2 linked regions of the Rattus norvegicus genome follow. The protein of the gene in region 1 interacts with the protein of each later gene in a pairwise test. Links are inferred from orthologs where the notes say so. Each region holds a gene or a part of one and is shown in the gene's direction. Other genes may lie near its edges. The genes, in order: Keap1 and Hsp90aa1.

Region 1 (4,276 bases):
TATATGAGTAAAACTGGGGCTGGAGAGATAGCCCAGCAGTTAAGAGCACTGGCTGCTCTCCCAGAGGACCTGGGTTCAATTCCCAGAACCCACATGGCAGTTCACAACCATCTGTAACTCCCGTTCCAAGGGATCCAGTATGCACCTTATACAGACATACATGCAGGCAAAACAGCAATGAACATGAAATTAAAAATAAATTGAAAGAAAAAACCCAGAATACACATTTGTAATCCCATTGGAGAGATGGAGACAGGAGACAGAGTTCAAAGCTAGCCTGGGCTAAAAATGACATCTTGTCTGCACCAGTCAGTCAAATAATATTAAATTTTTTTATTTATCTTTATTTTATGTGTATGGGTGTTTTGTCTTCATGGTTGTGGTGCTTGTGGAAGCCAGAAAAGGGTATGGGATCCCCTGTAACTGGAGTTATAGGCGTTCATTTTGACCCTAATACCAGTTCCGGGAATTGAACCTGGGTCCTCTGAAAGAGCTGTCAGTGCTGTAATCACTGAGCCATCTCTCCAGCACCAATAATAACTTTATTTTCCAAAATTAATTTATGTGTGCATGTGGAGGTTGGAGGACAACTTGGAGGAGTAAGTTTTTTACTACCACGTGAGAAACAGGGATGGAACTTAGTTGCCAGAATTGGCCAAATCTTATAGGTCAAGAAAATAATTTTCTCTCATAAATGCCTTTGTAGCAAATAAGAATCTCTTATCATATATATATATATATATATATATATATATAATGAGAAATGCAAAGAAAGGCAATTCTGGGCATTCCAACTCTCCAACACCCTCAGATGAATGCCACACCTCTCCTCATGAAAAAATGACTACAGAGAGAGGAGAGAGGAAAGTGGGCTGCTGTTGCACCTTGCAGGCTCCACATAGGGGAAGAGAATCAGTTTCTGCCAGTCATCCCCCGACCTCTACACACAAGCATACACACAAATAAATTAATGTACACAAAGCCCTGCGTGGTGTCACAGCCTTTAAACCCCCACCCCCCCACTCCCCCTCACCCCGGCACGCAGGAGGCAGAGCGAGAGGCAGAGGCCAGCCAGGGCTATGTAATGAGGCCATTCTCAAAAAAGAAGTTATAAGGCTGGGGTGCTGGCTCAGCAGTTAAGAGTACCTGTTGCTCTTGCAGAAGACCAGAGTTCAATTCCCCCTCTCCACAGGGTGGATAACCTGTAACTTTAGGGGGCACTGCACGCCCACGGGGCACAGACATACACGCAGGCAAAACACCCACACACATAAAGTAAAATGCGAATTGAAATAGAAACCATTAAAAAGTTATTTTAAAGGAAGATCTGTATCTCAACCAGGTACATAGGTCTGGCTGGGCCGGGTAGGGTGTGGGAGGGTCCGCTGGGGCAGGTTCAGCTAGAGGCGTACTGGACAGCCTAACCCGGAGGCAGGCTCCTAGGGCCGCCCTGACCCACGCCCTGCTCCCTCCGCCCGGCACCTGCAGGAAGGGCTGGAACCGCCTCTGCGTGCCCGCCGCCTGTTTCCGCCCTCCCGCTCCTCCCACGCGTGCCGCCCGGGACCCCGCAGCACCGCTGCCCCGATCCGAGGCCCCCTGGCTGCCCTCGGCTCCTCCCGGAAGCGCGGCGCGTGGCGGCCCGGCGGTGCGGATTGGACGCGTGGCACCAACAGAGACACCCGGGGGGGTGGGACGGAGGTGAGCGAGCGCCCGCGGAGGATGCGGTGGGGAGCCAGCTCCGGGCGCCGCCCGCGGTCGCGCGTGGGGACGTGCACGCGGTGGGGGGAAGCGCGTGACCCCTCCAAGTGCGCACCCGCGCCCAGCCCGTGCACCCGCGTAGGGTGGTGGCCGAGGCGAGTCGAGGGTAGGGGTCGCCCGCGGCCGGCGCCCCGGGACTCTTATTGTGACAGGGTGGTGCGCTGTGCTTAGTCACCGTGACCCGCGCGGCGGAGGCGGAGGCAGAGCGCGGCCATGGCGGGGTGAGTGCGCCGCTCCGGGCCGCGGCCCGGGACCAGGCCCTGCGGGCTCTCCAGGCGTCAGGGCTGCGCCTCCGAGCGTTAGGGAGGCCGCTGGAGCAGGCACCGGGTACCGGGTGGCTGCTGCTCAGCCCTCTGCGCAATGCCAGGCCCGAGCTCCGGCAGTGTGGTCACGCGTGACAGTCGCTCACTTACTGGGGCCCCTGGAGCATTTCATCGTCGTCCCCCCCATGGTGACCTAGTAGACATAACACTGGGGGACGCGACTCCAGGCTGAGCCCCAGAACCTGGGGAGCCAGCTGCAGGCCCTCTCTGTGTCCCCACATCTCCTTTGAAAGCATAACTCCTGTCCTGGCCCCAGGTCTCCAAGGGTCTCCTGAATCCCTCACCGTGGGTGTTCCAGAGGCTGCACACTCTGCCCAGGGCCTTGGTGCTCGCCTAGTGTTTTCTATACAGACCTTGCTTTATTTTCAGGCCTTTTCTGTCTTCCTGCTGTGTCCCTGGAGCTCAGAACAGTTGCAAGTATAAATGGCAGGCTCTGTAAATTTTGGTGAGGTGTTGAAGAAAGGGATTTGACATGTCGGATGAAGGGAAGGGAAGCATGGCTGGAACTGAGTGAAGAGGTCTAGAAGGGGGTGTGGAGTTTTACAGGCCATTGAGGAGCTGGGTTTCCACTCTTGGGCTCTGGGATAGGTATTGGGTGATTCTGAGCAGGAAAAGGAACGGCCGGTGATTTGAGAAGAAGTCAGTTTGAATGGAGCCGGGTGTGTCCAGTTCACTTGGCTTGACAAAAACTGCTCTAGAAATCATTGCTTAGTCTAAAAAAAAAAAAAAAAATTAAAGCTTGGCTAGATATGGTGACACAAACTGTAGTCCCAGTACACGGGAGGAAACAGCAAACAGCCTTGTTTACATAGTGAGTTTGAAGCCAGCCTAGGCTAAGACCCTGTCTCAAAAGAAAACAAGAAACAAACAAACAAACAAAAAAAAAATGTGGCAGGGTCTGGCCTAATCCAGCCCTGTACTCTTCCCTCCTTCCAGGCCCCTAATCGCTAGTGGTGGAACTGTATCTTGTCATCAGGAACCCCATGCAGCCCGAACCCAAGCCTAGCGGGGCTCCCCGCAGCAGCCAGTTCCTGCCCCTGTGGTCAAAGTGCCCGGAGGGGGCAGGGGACGCGGTGATGTATGCATCCACGGAGTGCAAGGCGGAGGTGACGCCCTCGCAGGATGGTAACCGAACCTTCAGTTACACACTAGAGGATCACACCAAGCAGGCTTTTGGCATCATGAACGAGCTTCGGCTGAGCCAGCAGCTCTGTGACGTGACCCTGCAGGTCAAATATGAGGACATCCCAGCTGCCCAATTCATGGCCCACAAAGTGGTGCTGGCCTCCTCCAGCCCAGTCTTTAAAGCTATGTTCACCAACGGGCTTCGGGAGCAGGGCATGGAGGTGGTGTCCATTGAAGGCATCCACCCCAAGGTCATGGAGAGGCTAATTGAGTTCGCCTACACGGCCTCCATCTCCGTGGGCGAGAAGTGTGTGCTGCATGTGATGAACGGGGCAGTCATGTACCAGATTGACAGCGTGGTCCGAGCCTGCAGCGACTTCCTCGTGCAGCAGCTGGACCCCAGCAACGCCATCGGCATCGCCAACTTCGCCGAGCAGATCGGCTGCACGGAACTGCACCAGCGTGCTCGGGAGTATATCTACATGCACTTCGGGGAGGTGAGTAAGACCTGGGGTTTGGGCTCAGTTGTCACAAGAAGTGGGATGGGCCAGCATAGTGCTCTCCGAGACTGGAGCGGCCATTCAAGGCTGGAGGAAGATTTCTTTTTTTCTTCCTCCTTTTCTCCATAGGGCCTCATGTAGCTCAGGCTGGCCCTAATCTGGTTGTGTATCTGAGGATGGTTTTAAGTTCCTGATTCCTGTGTCAGTCTCCCAAGTACTGTAGTCACAGACTCCCAGTATACTTAAGAGATACTGGAATGGAACGCAGAGCCCCAGGACTTGGTTTTACTTTTGTTTTTAAATCTTTTTTTAAAAATTCATTTACCTTTATTTTGTGTGCATTATTGTTTTGCCTGAATGTTTTTCTATGTGAAAGGGTCAGGTCTTGGAGTTACAGACAGTTGTGAGCTGCCACGTGGGTGCTGGGATTTGAACTCTGGTCCTCAGGAAGAGCAGTCAGTAGTGCGCTCAACTGCTGAGTCATCTCTCCAGCACCTTAGATTTTATTTTTTTTGGCAGACTTCTCTAGCTGAGGCTTTTTTTGTTTTTCTTTTACTTTTGTTTTTTGAG
Region 2 (4,598 bases), on another chromosome or scaffold:
CAGAGGTCCTTCCTCAACTGCTATAAAAGGGCCTCACTCTCACTCCCTGGGGTGGGGGCTAACTTTCTTCCTCTTCCTGAGGAATTGCCTGCTGTGCTTTTGTCCACAGAGGACAATCTTCCTTCCTTCCTTCCTTCCTTCCTAAACTTTTAATTATTATTCTATGTGCGTTGGTATTTTGCCTGCGTGCATGTATGTTTGCGTGAGGGTGTCAGAGATTAGAATTACCGTTTTGAGCTGCCACGTGGTCATTGGGAATTGAACCTGGGTCCAGTCTATGCTTTAACCACTGAGCCATCTCTCCAGCCCTTTTCTTTCGAATCTTAATGAGTGATCGTTTTCGTCAGCAGGAAAAGATGCGGAAATAGTGGGTGGGAGTAACATAAAGGAAAGGGAAATGGAAGCCAAACGGAAGTCTATTAAAGCCTGTATTAAACAAGGAAACTATCTTTTGGGTCACGTTAATCGCCCAAAGTAACGTCATGACACCCTAAGAAGGTGCCTCAAAAACCAGGGTAGTGTGTTGTGTATGAGCGTTTTGACTGCGTGTGTCTGTGCACCATGTGTGCTCCTGGTGCCGCAGAGGCCAGAGGGGACTGTATTTTCTGACTGTAGTTACTGGTGCTTGTGAGCTGCCTTAACGTGCGAGTTTGGTATCACTAACTGCTCCTAGCTGACTCTTTAGCCCTTTACACTTATTTTCACATTGTGCGAGTGTGTGTGCGAGTGTGTGTGTGTGTGTGTGCACATGAGTGTCACAGGCGCTGAGGGTTAGCTCCCCACTCCCAACCCCCGCTATCTGGGTGGCAGATATCAAACCCAAGCACCTCTACTGGATGAAGCCATCTTTCTGGGCCCCCGTAATTACAATAAGTTAAGGTAGCACAAATTTGACACTAAAACCCTAACAACGCCCAAGTTTGAGGGTCATGGGTTTTGGTCAAAGAGAAACCCCCAAGCACTATGGACAGATTTGGAAGATCCACCGTGTACTACCCACAGTAAGGCTTCAGGACAGGCTCCAGAGGGGACAGCCCTAAAATTCAGACAGTGGTACCACGCGCCAGACCGCGCAACAAGCAGAACCCGGGCTCGGGATACGCCCCACCCATCAGGTGGAAGCCAGGAGTCAGACTCGCGTCCCGCCGGGAGTCTACGTCCCCAATGGGAGCCCGAAGACAGGGGGATCTTCTCGCCTCAGACACCTAACGCGCCGCAGAGGGCACTGAGGTTCACACAGCAACGCAGCCTCACATGGGAACATCCCTTTCGCAGACCCCACCCCCACCCCCCGAGAAGAGGAGCCCTAGAGTGCTCACATGGCGGCCTCTAGCGCATGCGCTGGTCACCTTGTCCGCGCTCCACGAGAGGCGGCGCGCGCGCGGCCCGGGAAGGCGCCAGGCCCGCCGAGAATCCCGGACTGCGCATGTCCAGAGCACCTGGCTGTGGAGGAGGGGCTCGCGTTCGTTCTCCGCGCGGGTTCTGCGCGCTCCTGGTGGAGGGGCGGGGCCCGTCCAGTGCGCAGGCGCAGGCGCGCGGCCGAGGCGACGGTTGGGGAGGGTTCTTCCGGAAGGTTCGGGAGGCTTCTGGAAAAAGCGCCGCGCGCTGGGCGGGCCCGCCTCTATATAAGGCAGGCGCGGGGGGCGGCGCGCCAGTTGCTTCAGTGTCCCGGTGCGGTTAGTCACGTTTCGTGCGTGCTCATTCTGCCAAGGTGAGTGTCCTCGCAGAGGGGCTTAGTGGGGGATTGGGGAGAGAGGTTGACGGATGTAGACGCGGCGGCGGGGTCGGGGCCGCCATCCGAGCTCCCTCAGCCCGCAGAGGTGGGCGGCCATGCCTTCAGACCCTAGGCCCCAGGCGGCCGCTACGCCCCAGGCCCAGGATGCGGTGATGGCCGCCGAGGAGGAGCGGCGGCGGAGGGTCGGGGGCGAGGCGAACGTTCGGCTCTGGCCTTTGCCTAGGCCTCCCCGGCTCTCGCCGGTGCTCCTGAGGCGCGGGCGGAGGAGGGAGGCGCCATAGCGGCGGCTTGTGGGGGGAGGGTGGCCGTTAGGAACGGCGTGCGTGGAGCCGCTTGGGTCCGAACGTCCTCCCGGAGGCGCGCACATGCGCCTCGTAATTACCGCATTCTGAAATGAGGTCATCCCTTTGTCATCCACCCCCCCCCTCGGCCTCTTCTATTCCGTCCCCGTCTCAGACCGAAATAGAGTTCCTAAGGAATTTCTATAGGAAAGGGGTAGGTAGGCATTAGGACGCCTGCAGACATTCTGTGAGGCTTTAACACCGTCCCGTGTTCCCAGATGCCTGAGGAAACCCAGACCCAAGACCAACCAATGGAGGAAGAGGAGGTCGAAACCTTTGCCTTTCAGGCAGAAATTGCCCAGTTAATGTCCTTGATCATCAACACTTTCTACTCGAACAAAGAGATCTTTCTGAGGGAGCTCATTTCCAACTCCTCAGACGTGAGTATATCACTTGAAGAATTGAATGGATGTTGGTTTCAGTAAAAATTTCACCTTGAGGCTTGTCTGTGTGCGTGACGTTTGTCTTCTCTTAATAGGCTCTGGATAAGATCAGATACGAGAGCTTGACCGACCCTAGTAAACTGGACTCGGGGAAGGAGCTGCACATTAATCTCATTCCCAACAAGCAAGACCGAACCCTCACTATTGTGGATACTGGCATTGGAATGACCAAGGCTGACTTGATCAATAACCTTGGCACTATTGCCAAGTCAGGCACCAAAGCCTTCATGGAGGCTTTGCAGGCTGGTGCAGATATCTCTATGATTGGCCAGTTTGGTGTTGGTTTTTACTCTGCGTATTTGGTTGCTGAGAAAGTGACTGTCATCACCAAGCATAATGATGACGAGCAGTACGCCTGGGAGTCCTCAGCTGGAGGATCCTTCACTGTGAGGACAGACACAGGTAGGCAGAGGCCAGGAGTGCATTCAGAGTGCAGTGGGTGTCTGGTTATTTTAGGTCAAGTGTTTAAGAGGGTTAACTGGGAGAATTGAAGAGTTTGGAGCAGTCTGGGATAGTCTTAGTCCTAAGCCCTCCAACAAAATTGTTAATCTCAAGGGAGCTTCAAGGACTGGGTGGTTGGAGGAAATGTGGAAAACGTATGGCTATTTGCTCAGTAGCAAGGAAGTTAAAGCTCTGGAGACTGCATTTGTGTGGAAAGTTAGCTGCTAGGAAACACTGCACGTTTTTATCTCCGCTCCAACAAGCACTGGGAGAAGACTTTGAATATTAGCCATTTGAATTCATAGTCCATAACCTTTTCTTTTTCAGGTGAACCAATGGGTCGTGGAACAAAGGTTATCTTGCATCTAAAAGAAGACCAAACTGAGTATTTGGAGGAAAGGAGAATAAAAGAAATTGTGAAGAAACATTCTCAGTTTATTGGCTACCCCATTACTCTCTTTGTAAGTTTTTCTTTCAACTGCAGGGTAAATTGATATGATAACTGAGACAACTGAGCATGGTCTTAGCATTCTGTAAATAATAAGCCTGTTTGAAACAAGTTTGGGTCTGTGCTCTGGAGGACTGTTGAGAAATTATAGAAAACACTGATGAGTTTCTTAATTATGGACATTTATTTCTTAGATCTTAAATAATTTGTGACACAGTAATGAAGTGACTTTTTTTTAAGGTGGAGAAGGAACGTGACAAGGAAGTCAGTGATGATGAGGCTGAAGAAAAGGAAGAGAAAGAGGAAGAGAAAGAAAAAGAAGAAAAGGAGTCTGATGACAAGCCTGAAATAGAAGATGTTGGTTCTGATGAAGAAGAAGAAGAGAAGAAGGATGGTGACAAGAAGAAAAAGAAGAAGATAAAGGAAAAGTACATTGATCAAGAAGAACTCAACAAAACAAAGCCGATCTGGACCAGAAATCCTGATGACATTACGAATGAAGAATACGGAGAGTTCTACAAGAGCTTAACCAACGACTGGGAAGAACATTTGGCAGTAAAGGTGAGTGACTTAAAGCAGGTTTTCGGGTTGACTTAACGTTAACCTTTACACCCACTCAACCTATAGAAGTGCTTCTAAGTGTAACATAGCTCAGTGGAAAAGTTGATTCATTTTTGTCCATGGCAGTTAAAGGTATTTCATTTTATTGCAGCATTTTTCTGTTGAAGGACAATTAGAATTCCGGGCTCTTCTTTTTGTCCCAAGACGCGCTCCTTTTGATCTATTTGAAAACAGAAAGAAAAAGAACAACATCAAGTTGTATGTTCGCAGAGTTTTTATCATGGATAACTGTGAGGAGTTAATCCCCGAGTATCTGAGTAAGTACGGATAGAAAGAATAAGCACTATTGGCAGGGGTTTTGCATAACTTGTTTGAGGCCCTGGGCTCAGTCCTCTCGACCAGCCAAAAATGATTCCTTAGTTTTCGGAATGATTAAGGTAGGTGTCTTGTTCTTTTCTTCCACAGATTTCATCAGAGGGGTGGTGGATTCTGAGGATCTCCCTCTAAATATTTCCCGTGAAATGCTGCAACAAAGCAAAATTCTGAAAGTTATCAGGAAGAATTTGGTCAAGAAATGCCTAGAACTATTTACTGAACTGGCTGAAGATAAAGAGAACTACAAAAAGTTT

What was found.
Region 2: the proteins of Keap1 (region 1) and Hsp90aa1 interact in a two-hybrid assay, tested with the Homo sapiens proteins (2 studies listed by BioGRID). The link is inferred for Rattus norvegicus from reciprocal best matches to the Homo sapiens genes KEAP1 and HSP90AA1.

What each region holds. Positions count from the first base shown.
Region 1 is NC_086026.1:28,051,189-28,055,464, reverse strand, and holds the start of Keap1 (kelch-like ECH-associated protein 1), read left to right. Parts: upstream 1-1,422; 5' UTR 1,423-1,698; intron 1,699-1,839; exon of another isoform or gene 1,840-1,979; intron 1,980-3,017; 5' UTR 3,018-3,064; coding exon 3,065-3,703; intron 3,704-4,276. UniProt on the Homo sapiens protein: Substrate-specific adapter of a BCR (BTB-CUL3-RBX1) E3 ubiquitin ligase complex that regulates the response to oxidative stress by targeting NFE2L2/NRF2 for ubiquitination.
Region 2 is NC_086024.1:135,526,196-135,530,793, reverse strand, and holds the start of Hsp90aa1 (heat shock protein HSP 90-alpha), read left to right. Parts: upstream 1-1,653; 5' UTR 1,654-1,711; intron 1,712-2,294; coding exon 2,295-2,456; intron 2,457-2,554; coding exon 2,555-2,921; intron 2,922-3,287; coding exon 3,288-3,421; intron 3,422-3,648; coding exon 3,649-3,969; intron 3,970-4,120; coding exon 4,121-4,286; intron 4,287-4,434; coding exon 4,435-4,598. UniProt on the Homo sapiens protein: Molecular chaperone that promotes the maturation, structural maintenance and proper regulation of specific target proteins involved for instance in cell cycle control and signal transduction.